2 linked regions of the Macaca fascicularis genome follow. The protein of the gene in region 1 interacts with the protein of each later gene in a biochemical or structural test. Links are inferred from orthologs where the notes say so. Each region holds a gene or a part of one and is shown in the gene's direction. Other genes may lie near its edges.

Region 1 (7,795 bases):
TGAATAATCCACCTCCCTACCCAATTCCCAATTCGACATGCAGTTTTCCTGACAGTTTGTATGTTTTCTGTCTTTCCCACCCTTAAATTTAGTTTTATGACTTCAACCACACTTCTTAGGAGTGGAAAGTTACCTGTAATAGATTATGGTTTATTCCACATAATCTTGGGGAATAAAACTTTAAAAAAGTTTATGGTTTAGACTTCTGGTTTACATTACTTCCTTAACCAAAAGTCTAACTAAGAAATTTGAATATTTAAAAAAAAAAAGAGCCTAATTTTGCTTCCTTGTCTGTGAAAAGAATTATCTATATCTTTTGCATGTAAGACAAATCTCAGTGAAAAGGGTGCTTAAATAGAAGTTAACACTATTTTAAAGCAAGAATGGAAGTGGCTTCATCATGCATAAACAACAACTCTCCACATTTTGTAACGATTGATCCAGATGCAATTTGTAGTCAGACAGGAGAAGTTGAAAGCAGAGAAAGAACACTGGGAGATAGAGAAGCTCCTTCATTCAATGCAAAAGGTCAAAGGCACATCAGTTTCTTTAATAATGCAAACCTCAGCACACATGATCAGTGTCCTCATTATTATTGCCTTGTTTATTTCCCACTGCTCACTGTTAATTTCAACGTGAAATTTACCTGTATTGCTGCATGCATCTTGCAGTTTAAGAAGCGAAGTAACCCAATTTCCAAGCTAGTGCTTTCAGGAAAATACTGGATTGTATTTACTTCGAGCAGAGTTTGATAATTTATGGACATCATAAAAATTTTAAATCCCTTAATTAATATAGCAATTGCCAAAACTGGGCTGTTATCCTTCTAAACTACCGGCCCAAATGGTAGTGGGATCCTTCTAAACTACCAGCCCAAATGGTAGTGGGTATCTAATCTACCTCTAGAAAGAAAATGGACTGTGTTTGCTCTATTTCCTTTTTCTTGTACAGCTTGCCACCGAGACATTTATAAAGGAATTGATATGAGAGGAGTCAATTTTAATGTATCTAAGGTTAGCAGTGTTGAAGAATGCCAAAAAAGGTGCACCAATAACATTCGCTGCCAATTTTTTTCATATGCCACACAAACTTTTCACAATGCAGAGTACCGGTGAGTACAATTCATGGTGTTTGTTCTTTATATTAGTGCCCCCAGGATTTCACTGTATTCTTCACAACCTCTTTTGTTCCCAAACTAAAAACCAAACAGGGCTTTTACTCCTAACCACTTTCCTTATTTACTTACTCTATTTTATATTTTTATCTTCTTTTTTTTTTTTTTTTGAGACGGAGTCTCGCGTGTTGCCCAGGCTGGAGTGCAGTGGCGCAATCTCGGCTCACTGCAACCTGTGCTTCCTGGCTTCAAGCAATCCTCCTTCCTCAGCCTCCCATGTAGCTAGGACTACAGGCGCCCACCACCACACCTAGCTAATTTTTATGTTTTTACTAGAGACGGGGTTTTACCATGTTGCTCAGGCTGGTCTGGAACTCCTGATCTCGTGATCCACCCACCTGGGCCTCCCAAAGCGCTGGGATTACAGGCATGAGCCACTGCTCCCGGCCCTTCATTTTAAAGTTAAATAATTCATTTAATTTTATTTGTTTCTCTACTCTTTTCCTCTGGCAGGTAATTGTACCCCATCTTCAAAGCCTGGCATCCTCTTCCACCACTTCTCCAAAGGCTGATTCTTTCAGGTCTTTCCTCAATACCGTCCCCTCCAAAGGGCCATTTCTGAGCATTCTCTTTTAAGCTACATTCAGCTCTGTTTATTTCATTCGTAGAGCTAATCACAATTTGATTTTAACTTGTGAATTTCTTTCCTTATTTTTAAATCTCATTTTTGTTTGCATAGATGTATGGGGTACAAGTGTAATTTTGTTACCTTGGTGTATTGTACAGTGGTAAAGTCTGGGCTTTTGGTATATCCATCACTGGAGTCACGTACATTGTACCCACTAAGCAATTTGTCATCACCTGCCCCTTTCCCACCTCTCTATCACCTTCCCAGTCTCTACTGTCGATCACTCCATGCTCTTCTCAGTTGTGGTGTCATTTTTCCTGAAGCGAAATTTCGGTGTCATTGTTTCTGAAGTCATTTTCTGACGTCTGTGTCATTTTTTGCTTTCCTGAAGTGAATTTTGGTGTCATTTTTCCTGAAGTTCCATTTGCCCCACGCATAGGCCTTACTTATAGAATGAGGGTTTAGTGTCATGGTGTCTCCTGCCTCATTCTCACCCCAACTTTCCCTTGACCCCTTTGTGAGGAGAAGGATGTCCATTTGATTAATAATGCAAACCCCTAACCCACTCATTATCAGCATCATTGTTTTTTCCACTGTCCGTTTGAATACTAAATGTTACCTGGACTGCTACGTCCACCTCAAAGTGCAGGAAGCAAAGTCACCTCTTTTCTTCCCATTCAGGAACACTTGCCTCTTAAAGCACAGTCCCGGAGGAACGCCTACCACTATAAAGGTGCTGAATAACGTGGAATCTGGATTCTCACTGAAGCCCTGTGCCCTTTCAGAAATTGGTAATTGTAGGACCACTTCACCTTGTGATTGTAGTAGGCGGAATAGGACCCCCCAGAGATGTCCCTGTGCGGAGCCCCGGTACCTGTGCGTGTGTTCCCATAGCTGGCAAAAGCGTTTCTATCAATGGGATTCAGTTAAGGACTTTGAGATGGGGAGTTTACTCTGGATTTTCTCGATGGGCCCAATGTACTCACAGGATTGGGTGCTCACAAGGCTAATAAGAAAAAGGGAGAGGCAGAAGGGTCAGAGGCAGAGAGAGGTTTGAAGGTGTTACACTGCTGGCTTTGAAGATGAAGGTCCATGAGCCAAGGAATGCAGGTGGCCTCTAGAAGTTGAAAAGGGCGAGGAAACAGTTTCCCTGTGGAGCATCCTGGAGGAACAAGCCCTGCTGATGTCTTGATTTTAGCCCAGTAAGACCCAATCTCTAGAATGGTAAGATAATAAATTTTTGTTGTTTTTAACCACTGAGTTTGTGGTTATGCCCCTATAGCAGCAGTTATAGGAAACTAGTACAGTGATATTGTTATAGGTACAATGATATTGTAGCAAAACTGTAAGGACCTTCCTTGGTTGTGTCCCTATCTAGGGAAATGACTCTACCGGGGGGAGGGAAATAACATTCTGTCGTGTCACACATAAAGGTAATTTCAATGGAATTGTCCAGAAAATTGCCATGACATTCCACCTCATTTAGCGTATCAGGATGTTAACGACAAGATGTTACTGAAACCAAATCCCTTACTGCCAGTTCTCCGCAGTAGTGGGTGCTGGCTCTGTGCCTGGCCCTGTATTGGGTGCTGGGCTAGGATTTCCCTGTGGAAGATTGGGAAGGTTGGTTACAAGGTGTCTATTTTCCTGTCTCCTCTTTGTGACAGCACACCTTCTCCACGGTGCGTGCCAGGTTCACGTGTACTGGTGATGTGATTTTAACGTTCATATTATTTTTTTCCGGGAGAGTTTTTGAAGGCTGCCAGGAGGCAGGACTCGATGCAAGCATGCTCCATTCTGTACCCAGCACTGTTGCTGGAAGGATTTGCTGCACTTACCCAGGGAACAGGCAAGCTCATGCCGTGGTTCTGGGCTGTCACAGCTGCTGTCCACACCTGGGAGAGCACCCTGGATGGCTCATCTCTGTACTTGCTTTCTTGTTAAATTGCAGTGAGTTCACATGTGATTTAATCTGATCAAATGGCCTTTACAGACTGGTAAAAATCTGGCTGTTTCAGGCAGTGTTTTGAGCTGCTAAAGGCATGGCTTTTCACTGAGTACGTGTTCCCCGTTCCTTAGGGAACACCCAGTAGCTACGTGCCTCCTCAACCTGGAGTAGGGCTGTCTCCTGGCCTCACTGCCCAGATGAGATTCATAAGTTAGGGATCATCTGTAGTCATCACTACAGGTTTGTCCTTAGTTTCACCATGGATTTTTCTAATTTTACAAACAAAACCCCTAAGGCTCCTAGAAGGAGGGCAGAAGTGAAGGTGCTTGGGGGTCATATAGCTGATGAGCTGAACGAGAACTTGACCCTTGGGTCACACAGATTTCACATTGCTCACTCCCCATTTTGATTTTTTAATGGATTTAATGGTGTTTTAAAGTCTCCTGCCTCTCAACTCATATAAATTCATCATATTTACAGATTTCCTTCTCTTGCGGTCCATCTTCCTGCATAGATCTTGACAGATGTCAGGGTAATCACATCTTCCCAGTTAATTTAACAAAACCGTTTGCAATTCTGATATGGGAAATCTACCATATGACTTATTAATTTATCAATTGAGGTGATAAACATATTTTTCAAGCCAAAAGTAGGAGAACATAAACTGGAAAAAAAAGTTTTTTTATTTTTTATTTTTTTATTTTTATCACCTCTGGGGAAGAAAATCTGATAAATGAACCTGGTTGATGAAATTGCAATTAGTGGGAGCAACATCATGGTTTCTGTTCTGAGAATAACCAGATGGTATACTTGAAATAGAGAATGTCCTAGAAATCAACTGGTTGCTTGGCCAAAATATCTATAAATAGTGCCCGACATATTAGATAGGAAAAGCAAAGTAAAAGCAATTTTAATAGGTTAGGACATTGGGCTGAAGTATTGCATATATTTAATGTCACGTGCATCTGTGTGAAGAGACCACCAAACAGGCTTTGTGTGAGCAATAAAGCTTTTTAATCACCTGGGTGCAGGAAGGCTGAGTCCAAAAAGAGAGTCAGGGAAGCGAGATAGGGGTGGGGCCATTTTACAGGATTTGGGTAGGTAACGGAAAATTACAGTCAAAGGGGTTGTTCTCTGGTGGGCAGGGGTGGGGGTCACAAGGTGCTCAGTGGGAGAGCTTCTGAGCCAGGAGAAGGAATTTCACAAGGTAATGTCATCAGTTAAGGCAGGAACCGACTATTTTCACTTCTTTTGTCATTCTTCAGTTACTTCAGGCCATCTGGATGTATGTGTTCAGGCTTAGGCCCAGAGGCCTGACATTCCTGTCTTCTCATATTAATAAGAAAAATAAAATGAAATAGGAGTAAAGTGTTGGGGTGGCAAAAATTTTGGGGGTGGTATGGAGAGATAACGGGCAATGTTTCTCAGGGCTGCTTCGAGCAGGATTAGGGGTGGCATGGGAACCTAGAGTGGGAGAGATTAAGCTGAAGAAAGATTTTGTGGTAAAGGTTGATATTGTGGGGTTGTTAGTGGGAGCATTTGTCGTATAGAATGATTGGTGATAGCCTGGATATGGTTTTGTATGAATTGAGAAACTAAACAGAAGACATAAGGTCTGAATAAGAGAAGGAGAAAAACAGGTATTAAAGGACTAAGAATTGGGAGGACCCAGGACATCTAATTAGAGAGTGCCTGAGGGGGTTCAACATAATTAGTTGCTTGGTTGCTGAGTTTTTGGGCTCTATCCTTGACAGAGTCCTCCTTCTTAAGTTGGAGGCTGAGCTTGGTGAGGTGTGTTTTTAAAAGGCCATTAGTCCTTTCTACCTTTCCTGAAGATTGAGGAGAGTAAGGAGTATGAAGGTTTTACTGACTACTAAGAGCCTGAGAAACTGCTTGGGTGATTTGACTAATAAAGGCCAGTCCATTATCAGATTGTATAGAGGTGGGAAGTCCAAACCAAGGAATTATGTCTTACAGAAGGGAAGAAATGACCACGGTGGCCTTCTCAGACCCTGTGGGAAAGGCCTCTACCCATCCAGTGAAAGTGTCTGCCCAGACCAAGAGGTATTTTAGTTTCCTGACTCGGGGCATGTGAGTAAAGTCAATTTACCAGTCCTCTGCAGGGACAAATCCCCAAGCTTGATGTGTAGGGAAGGGAGGGGGCCTGAACAATCCCTGAGGAGTAGTAGAATAGCAGATGGAATACTGAGAAGTGATTTCCTTGGGGATAGATTTCCACAATGGAAAGGAAAAGAGGGGTTTTAAGAGGCAGGCTAGTGGCTTGTAACTTACATGGAAGAGGTTACGAAATGATGACAGAATAGAATGGGCCTGTGAGGCTGGAAGGAGATATTTTCCTTGGTCCAAGAACTATTTGCCTTGTGTGGGAAGAGATTGATAGGTGGAAGTTTCAATGTGGGAGTAGATGGGAGTGACCGATTAGAGGGAGGAAAAACTGGCCGTGAGGGACAGAAGTTGGAATGCTAGCTGCTTTTATAACTACCTTATCAGCATGGGTGTTGCCTTGAGCAATGGGATCTGATGCCTTTTGATGGCCCTTGCAGTGAATGACTCCAGCTTCCTTTGGACGTAAAGTGGCCTTGAGAAGAGTTTTTATTAAAGAGGCATTAATGATGGAGGACCCTTGCAGAGTGAGGAAACCTCTTTCAGCCCATATAACAGCATAGTGGTGCAGGATATGGAAGGCATATTTAGAGTCAGTGTAAATATTGATGCATAGTCCCTTTGCAAGAGTGAGGACCTGAGTTAAGGCAATGAGTTTGGCTTGCTGAGAGGTAAGTTAAGGCAATGAGTTTGGCTTGCTGAGAGGTAGTGGAGGGGTGCAGAGTGGTAGCCTCAATGATAGATGTAGAAGATATTATAGCATACCCTGCCTTTGCTGGTGGGTGGAGATTAGGCCTGGTGGAACTGCCATCAATAAACCAAGTGTGATTAGGGTAAGGAATAGGAAAGACAGAAGTATGGGGAAATGGAGTGGATGTCAGGTGGATCAGAGAGATACAGTCATGGGGATGGGGGCCAGCCTAAAACAGTAAGGTCAAGTTGTTTCGACAGAAAGCCTACAGGGCATGGTCCTGGCTCTTGTGTAAGAATTTTGACTGCACAGCCCTGTACTTTGGCTGTGTGTAATGAAAAGGTTTGGGATGAATTAGGGAGAGCTAGTGTGGGAGCAGCTTCTAGTGCTGTTTTTAAGGAATGGCAAGAGGAGTGGCTAAAGGATTTAGGATCTATGGGGTCAGCTAGGTTTGCTTTTGTGAGTTTATATAATGGTTTAGTTAGGATGGTAAAACTAGGTATCCAAAGGCGGAAGTACTTAATGCCTAGGAAGAAAAGGAGTTGTTGTTTTGTAGAAGGGGTTGGGGCTTGGGAGATTAGCCAGACATGATCAGCAGGGAGAGCACGTGTGTTCTCATGAAGAATTATGTCCAGATAGGTAATGGATGAGGAAGAAATTTGGGCTTGACTGAAGTAATGGGGGCTGTCTGTGAAGCCTTACAGCAGTACAGCCCAGGTAATTTGCTGAGCCTCATGGGTGTCAGAGTCAGTCCAAGTGAAAGCAAAGAGAGGCTGGGATGAAGGGTGCAAAGGAATAGTAAAGAAAGCATGTTTGAGATCCAGAACAGAATAATGGGTTATGGAGGGGTTGTGGAGGGAGGTATTGAGGATAGGAGAGTATATATCCACTGGGTGGATAGGCAAGACAGTTTGGTTGATAAGGCACAGATCCTGAACTAACCTGTAAGGCTTGTCTGGTTTTTGGACAGGTAAAATGGGGGAATTGTAAAGAGAGTTTATAGGCTTTAAAAGGCCATGTTGTAGCAGGTGAGTGATAACAGGCTTTAATCCTTTTAAAGTGTGCTGTGGGATGGAATAGTGGCATTGGGCAGGGTAAGGGTGATTAGGTTTTAATGGGATGGTAAGGGGTGCATGATCAGTCGCCAAGGAGGGAGCAGAGGTAACCTACACTTGTGGATGAAGGTGGGGACATAAAAGGGGAGGATGCGAAGGAGGCTTTGGGGACAAGGGTGGCAATGAGGTGTGGCTGTGGCCTAGGAAAGTCAGGGAGGCAGATAATTTAGTTAAA
Region 2 (7,795 bases), on another chromosome or scaffold:
TCTCAGCTACTTGGGAGGCTGAGGCAGAAGAATCGCTTGAATCTGGGAGGCAGAGGTTGCAGTGAGCCGAGATCGCACTATTGCACTCCAGTCTGGGTAACAAGAGTGACACTCTGTCTCAAAAAATAAAAATAAAAAAGAAAAGAAAAAGAAAAAAGAAATACCTCCACGGCTCAAAACAAAGACTCAACCTTTAAAACCTTTTTACACTGTCTTTCCTCCAACATCTTATGAATATCAGAGGCTTATGTAATCATTAGGCTATAAAAAAAAAACATTTATTCTCATGTCTCAAAACTCTTTTGGATAAAATCTTCACAAGTTCTGTTTTGTTTTGTTTTTTTAAGGAAAGCCACATTTAGCAACAGTACTAGGTAGACTTTCCCATCTGAAAGATTAGGATAAATGATCTTTCTTTTCTTTTTAGGCCACTGGAGAATGCACGGCAACTGTGGGGAAGAGGGCGAGTATGAAATTCTCTGTGGCTACCCAGACCTGCCAGATTACTCCAGGTAGCTGGTTTATCCTCTGGCACTGCCCTGGTGGGAAATTAACCGCTTCTGTGTGCCAGGAACACAACCTTGACCAGGCTCTGCTTGCTCCCAGAGGGCGGCAGTAGTAAAGCCATTTGCACAATTAGGGAGCATTGGGTGGAGCGGCAGAGCCCGGAGGGTGGGCCAGGCTTGTGACCATCATCCCCTTAGGACTATCCCAACTCTTCCCGTGTGCTGCATTGTACCCAGTATGTGCAAGGGCTCTGCAGAAGGACCAGGAGGCACAAGACCTGCCTGCCCTCTATTGTAGGCAGCATCCCAGAGTGAGGAGTGCATAGGCTTTGAGGGCAGCCCTGACCTGGAATCTTTCAGAGCTCCTCACCTTCTTGGCTGTCCTTTTCGTTGTCTAGAAAAGGGAGGTAACAGTACTTCCCACCTCACAGGACTGTCGTGAGGCTGAAATGAGATGATATGTCTGGAGGTACAATCAACATACTAACATATTAATCATAATAACATATTAGCAACAATCAGGATAAAGATAATAGCTAACATGTATTGAGTCCTTATGTCCCAGCCATGACTCGAAGCTCCTTACATGTATTAACTTCTCCTTCTTTTTTTCTTTTACTGATACATTATATTTTACATATTTATGAGGTACATGTAAGTGTTTTTTACATGCCTTGAACATGTAATGATCAAGTCAGAGTATTTGGGGTACCCATCACCTGGAATATTTATCATGTCTATGAATTGGTGATATTTCAAGTCCTCTCTTCTAGCTACTTTGAAATATACAATATATTGTTGCTAACTATAGTCACCCTAGTCTGCTATATAACATTAGAACGTATTTCTTCTATCTAACTATAATTCAGTACCTATTTTACCAAGCTCTTCATTTCCCCCTTCTACTTCCCTGCCCTGCTCAGCCTCTGGTATCCGTCATTCTCTTCTCTCCTCTATCTCCATGTGATTAAGTGTTTTACCTTCCAAATATGAGCGAGAACAATGTGCAGTTTGTCTTTCTGTGCTTCGGTTGTTTCACTGAACAACCTCCAGTTCTGTCCATGTGGCTTTAAATGATATGATTTCATTCTTTGTTTATGGTCAAATAGTATTTCATTATGCATATATACCACATTTTCTTTTTTTTTCTTTTTGAGATGGAGTCTCGCACTGTCACCCAGGCTGGGGTACAGTGGCACAATCTTGGCTCACTGCAAGCTCTGGGGTTCAAGCAATTCTCCAGCCTCAGCCTCCTGAATAGCTAGGATTATGGGCACCCGCCACCACGCCCAGATAATTTTTGTATTTTTAGTAGAGATGGGGTTTCACCATGTTGGTCAGGCCGGTCTCGAACTTCTGACCTCAGGTGATCTGCCCACCTTAGCCTCCCATACTGCTGGGATTACAGGTGTGAGCCACCGCACCTGGTCCCCCACATTTTCTTTATTCATTAACCTTTTGATGGACACTTAAGTTGGTTTCATATCTTTGCTATTGTGAATACTGCTGCGACCAACCTGGGAGTGGAAGTACCCCTTTGATAGACTGATTTCTTTTCGTCTGGGTAGATGCCCAGTAGCTGGACTACTGGATATATGGTATTTGGTGTTTTCATTTCTTGAGAAATCTCCACACTATTTTCCATAGTGGTTGTACTAATTTACATTCTTACCAACAGTGCATAAGCGTTCCCTTTTCTCCATACCCTCCTAGCTGTGTTTGCCGCTTACACAGCAAGCAGCGAGAGCTTGGTGGGTGAAGAAGCCCAGGCTCCCAGGGGGTCCCTCCAGGTGTGCCGCTCACTCTTCAGCTATGTTACCTTTTTATGGACTTTGCCTCTATTGACCAGTAGGTTAGGGCTATCTGTTATGAACATTACTTGGTAATTTAATACACACTCTTTTTAATAATAGCCATTCTAATGGGTAAGATGATATCTCATCTCATAATGGTTTCGATTTGCATTTCCCTAATGCTTAGTGATATTGGGCATTTTTTCACATATCTGTTGGCCATTTGTATGTCTTCTTTTGAGAAATGCCTACTGAGATCCTTTGCCCACTTTTTAATGGGACTACTTGGTTTTTTAATTGGTGAGTTAATTAAATTCCTTGTATATGCTGGATGTTAGTCCCTTGTGGGATGAATGGTTTGCAAAAAAATTTTTTTTCTTTTGAGACAGAGTCTTGCTCTGTCTCCCAGGCTGGAGTGCAGTGGCATGATCTCGGCTCACTGCAACCTCCATCTCCTGGGTTCAAGCAATACTCCTGCCTCAGCGTCCCGTGTAGCTTTGACTACAGGCATACGCCACCACACCCGGCTTATTTTTTGTATTTTTAGGAGAGATGGGGTTTCACCATGTTGGCCAGGCTGGTTTTGAACTCCTGACCTCAGGTGATCTACCCGCCTCTGCCTCCTAAAGTGCTGGTTTTACAGGAGTGAGCCACCATGCCCAGCCTCTTCTTTGTTTAGGGCAATGTATGTGAATGCTGATTGTAATCATTAATGCTGCGTTTTTGTCTGTTCTTTGTTAAGCCGAGGGCCCTGTGGTGACAGCCCAGTATAACTGCCTTGGCTGTGTGCATCCTATATCAACGCAGAGCCCAGACCTGGAGCCCATTCTGAGACACGGCGTTCAGTACTTTAACAACAACACTCAACGTTCCTCCCTCTTCACGCTTAGTGAAGTAAAACGGGCCCAAAGACAGGTTTGTTCTTTAATTCTCTAGGTCACCTAGTATTACTAAAATGTGTTAGATCTTTACGTTTAAAATGTATGATTGCATGGCTGGTGGTGTTTTCATGTGACTAGCACAGGAAGCAAAGGGCTTTCTCCTTAGTCAAAGTGAGTTGGATACATGTAAAGTGAGAAAAGATGTCTAATCAGACTCCCTTCCTTTGACGTTTGATTTTAACAAATGGGTAATCGTCATTACAGGCTCTTCCTAGAGACAGTGAAAAGGAAAGTCATAGTGGCCTTAGGATTTTCAGAAAACTCTACTATCACCTAGCAATCATGAGTTAACACAGCTCCAAAATATTACATTGTGTCTACAATGGTCGGCATGGCTTTCTGGCTACCCACTAAGTTACAGTTCCCATATCAACAGAAAAAAAAAAAAGTAAATATCCATAAATCTGTTTTTTGTTTTGTTTTTTTGGTTTTTTTGTGTGTGGTTTTTTGTTTTTTGTTTTTTTTTTTTTTTTTGACAGTCTCGCTCTGTTGCCTAGGCTGGAGCAATGGTACGATCTTGGCTCACTGTAACCTCTGCCTCCCAGGTTCAAGTGATTCTCCTGCCTCAGCCTCCCGAGGAACTGGGATTACAGGCACGCGTCACCACATCTGGCTAATTTTTGTACTTTTAGTACATGAGGGGTCACCATGTTGGCCAGGCTGGTCTCGAACTCCCAACCTCAAGTCATCCTCCCACCTCGGCCTCCCAAAGTGCTGGGATTACAGGCCTGAGCCACTGTGCTCAGCTACAAATCTTCTTAATGATTCAGTACAACCAGAATTTCTTCCTTTTTTTTTTTTTTTTTTTTTTTGAGACAGAGTCTTGTTCTTTTGCCCAGGCTGGAGTACAGTGGTGCTATCTCAGTTCACTGCAACCTCCACCTCCCAAGTTTAAGAGATCTCCTGCCTCAGCCTCCCAAATAGCTGGGCTTACAGGCACCCGCCACCACACTCGGCTAATTTTTGTATTTTCGGTAGAGACAAGGTTTCCCCAAGTTGGCCAGGCTGGTCTTGAACTCCTGACCTCAGGTGATGCACCTATCTCAGTCTCCCAAAGTGCTAGGATTACAGGCATGAGCCACCACGCCTGGCCCACGCAGACTTTTCTGATAGTTGACTGGGTCGCTTATATTTCAGCCTCTTATTATGAGTGATTCCCTTTGGTCAGCAACATTCTCTGCATTTAATAAACCTTACAACTTGCTTTCATGTGAGCATGCTTTACTCAATGATGTCCATATAGAGCTATCAGGGTGGGAGAGGCCCAGACTAAAGTAGGAGAAATCTTACTACTTGGTAACCTGGGAGCCTGAGGACCCAGCAGTAAAGACCACTCCCCTCCAAAGTTTTCTTTGTCCATCTAGAAGGGCATTACTATTTTATGAAATTCAGTAAACATTTCTCTCTGCAGCCTGGCAGGGGGACCATTGTTAGGATTTACTTAAAGAAATCCATGTTCCAAACCTGGCTGAAAAATAGCAAAATATATATAAATAGCTTGTCATTTTCAGATGGCTAGTGGTGTGTGTGTGTGTGTGTGTATAGTGTATGTGTGTTTGTGTGAGAGATGTGTGTTAAGGTGCTCAATGTTTATTCAGCATTTTTTTGCCTAGTAATAATAATAATTTATATTTCTTGAGCACTTTTTATATTGCCACACAGTTTTCTAACCTCCTCATAACATTCATATCCCACAGCGAATAATGTTTAAACCGCCCTTTAAATATTCAATCTGAAATTGTTTCAGGTGGTGGCTGGATGGAACTTTCTAATTACCTACTCAATTGTGCAAACGAATTGTTCCAAAGAGAATTTTCTGTTCTTAACTCCAGACTGCAAGTCCCTTTGGAATGGTGTAAGTGGGCAAAAATTTAATGATAAAGTTCTTAGCATTTTGTTTACATTTTGATGGTAACTATCAAGCTGAGTGGGAAGACCGTCACGAAAATTTTAGATGACATTCAGCAATTCATATTCACATTCACTCGGGAAGCCTAAAGCTCACATCACTGGTCAAGCTGCCTTACCTACCTGGCCAAAGAATCTGCACAGCTAGCATTAAGTATTTTTTTATAACTTTATTTTATTTTATTTATTTTTTGAGACAGAGTCTCACTCTGTTCCCCATGCTGGAGTGCAGTGGTGCAATCTCGTCTCACTGCAGCCTCCACCTCCCAGGTTCAAGCTATTCTCCTGCCTCAGCCTCCCAAGTAGCTAGGACTACAGGCGCCAACCACCATGCATGGCTAATTTTTGTATTTATAGTAGAGACAGGGTTTTACCGTGTTGGCCAGGGTGGTCTGGAACTCCTGATCTCAGGTGATCCGCCCACCTTGGTCTCCCAAAGTGCTGGAATTACAGGCGAGAGCCACCGCGCCTGGCCAGCGGTAAGTATTTACAGAGTGTAACCAGGGACGACGAATAGACAAAATGCTTGAACTGTCAAGTGTATCTTCATTATGTCTCCACACTTTCCTATTTCCTTTTCTTCCCCGTGTGCTCAATGCCCATATGGTATTCCCTTGCTCTCCCCAGGGTTATTCTTCATGTCAAACTTTCCTCTGCTTGTTTTCTCATCTTCTCTTCCCTACCTTTATCTTTAATAAACAGACCCTGAGTCTCTAGCCCTTAGTGGTCCTTCCTAGCATCGTATCTTGTTATCTGAACCAAAATTATATTAAAATGGTGTCTCTCAAGGTAGTAGTAGCCAGTGAATGTTAAGATGGCTAAGACATGATATGTGCCCAGGGATGTTTGCATGTGAGCAGAAGACTGTGCTTTAGGCAAGGAATTGCTACAAGTCCTTTGATCTAGTAATTCTGCTGCTAATTCTTTTATATGGGAAATCCAGACCATAAGATGTTAATTTCAGTTGCTTTTTAATAGAAAAATATTGTAAATAAATTGTTTATGCAACATTAGAGAATGGTTAAGTAAATTACAGTATATCCATACAGAGTAAAAATACAACCCACAGAATGAGAGAAAATATTTGCAAGAGTTTAACATGATACAGCTATCAAAAATTTTTAATTTTTAGTGACATAGTGAAATGGTTACAATGTTAAGTAAAAAACAAAAAAAGTGGGATACAAAGCTATACATGCAGATTTATTTAAATATGTAAAATAAATATAAATATAAAAAGTGATGGAAAACAAATTACGACAAAATATAGAATGTAGTTAACTTTCATTTGGAATTTTGGGTGCTTTTTCTTTTCTTTCTTTCTTTTTTTTTTTTGAGAAGGAGTCTTGCTCTGTCACCCAGGCTGGAGTGCAGTGGTGCAATCTCAGCTCACTGCAACCTCCGCCTCCAGAGTTCAAGTGATTCTCATGCCTCAGCCTCCCTGAGTAGCTGGGATTACAGGCGCCCGCTGCCATGCCCGGCAAATTTTTGTATTTTTAGTACAGATGGGGGTTTCGCCGTGTTGGCCAGGCTGGGTTCGAACTCCTGACGTCAGGTGATCCAGCCACCTTGGCCTTCCAAAGTGCTGGTATTACAGGTGCGAGCCACCACGCCCAGCCGCTTTTTCTGATTCTTTATATTTTTTGGAACTTTTTGATACTTCCCGAGTTTTCTAATTGAGCATGCATTTATTTTATTGAGAAAAAAGTAAAAAGAACGCTGTCAAGGGAGTAAAAATACAACTCACAGAATGAGAGAAAATATTTGCAAATCATGTATCTGACAAGAGTTTAACATGCAGAATATATAAAAAACCTCTTTTTGTTCACAAAATAACAAGTATTAGAAAGGGCATGGAGAAATTAGAACTTCTGTGCATTGCCAGTAGGACTGTAAAATGCTGCAACCATTATAGAAAATAATTTGGCAATTTCTGAAAAACTTAACTATAGAATTACTATATGATCCAGAAGTTGCTCTCTTAGGTATATGCCCAAAGAAATGGAAACGCATATTCAAACACATGCTTACACGTGAATATTTATAGCAGCAAAATTCATAATAGCCAGAAAGTCGAAACAACCCAAGTGTCCATCAACAGGTGAATGGATAAAGAAAATGTGCTATCAGGCGGGCGCGGTGGCTCACGCCTGTAGTCCCAGCACTTTGGGAGGTCGAGGCGGGCGGATCACGAGGTCAGGAGATCGAGACCATTCTGGCTAACACAGTGAAACCCCGTCTCTACTGAAAATACAAAAAATTAGCCGGACATGATGGCGGGCGCCTGTAGTCCCAGCTACTCCGGAGGCTGAGGCAGGAGAATGGCGTGAACCCGGGAGGCGGAGCTTGCAGTGAGCCAAGATCGCGCCACTGCACCTCCAGCCTGGGTGACTGAGCCAGGCTCCGTCTCAAAAAAAAAAAAAAAAAAGAAAATGTGCTATCATATATATACACAATGAAACACTGTTCACCCTTTAAAAACAATGAAATTCTGATACATGCTACAATGTGGATGAAGCTTGAAAATATGATGTTAAGTGAAATAAGCCAGACACACACACAAAATATGGTATGATTCCACTTACATGAAACATCTAGAATAAGCAAATTCATAGAGACAGTGAGTAGATGTGAATTTGTGAGTGGA

Evidence for each region. The genes of interacting proteins can lie anywhere in the genome.
Region 2: the proteins of KLKB1 (region 1) and KNG1 form a complex in vitro, tested with the Homo sapiens proteins (4 studies listed by BioGRID). The link is inferred for Macaca fascicularis from reciprocal best matches to the Homo sapiens genes KLKB1 and KNG1.

The regions. Positions count from the first base shown.
Region 1 is NC_088379.1:190,992,363-191,000,157, forward strand, and holds part of KLKB1 (plasma kallikrein), read left to right. Parts: intron 1-951; coding exon 952-1,111; intron 1,112-2,423; coding exon 2,424-2,533; intron 2,534-7,795. UniProt on the Homo sapiens protein: Participates in the surface-dependent activation of blood coagulation. Activates, in a reciprocal reaction, coagulation factor XII/F12 after binding to negatively charged surfaces.
Region 2 is NC_088376.1:11,773,694-11,781,488, reverse strand, and holds part of KNG1 (kininogen-1), read left to right. Parts: intron 1-427; coding exon 428-512; intron 513-3,041; coding exon 3,042-3,214; intron 3,215-4,987; coding exon 4,988-5,095; intron 5,096-7,795. UniProt on the Homo sapiens protein: Kininogens are inhibitors of thiol proteases.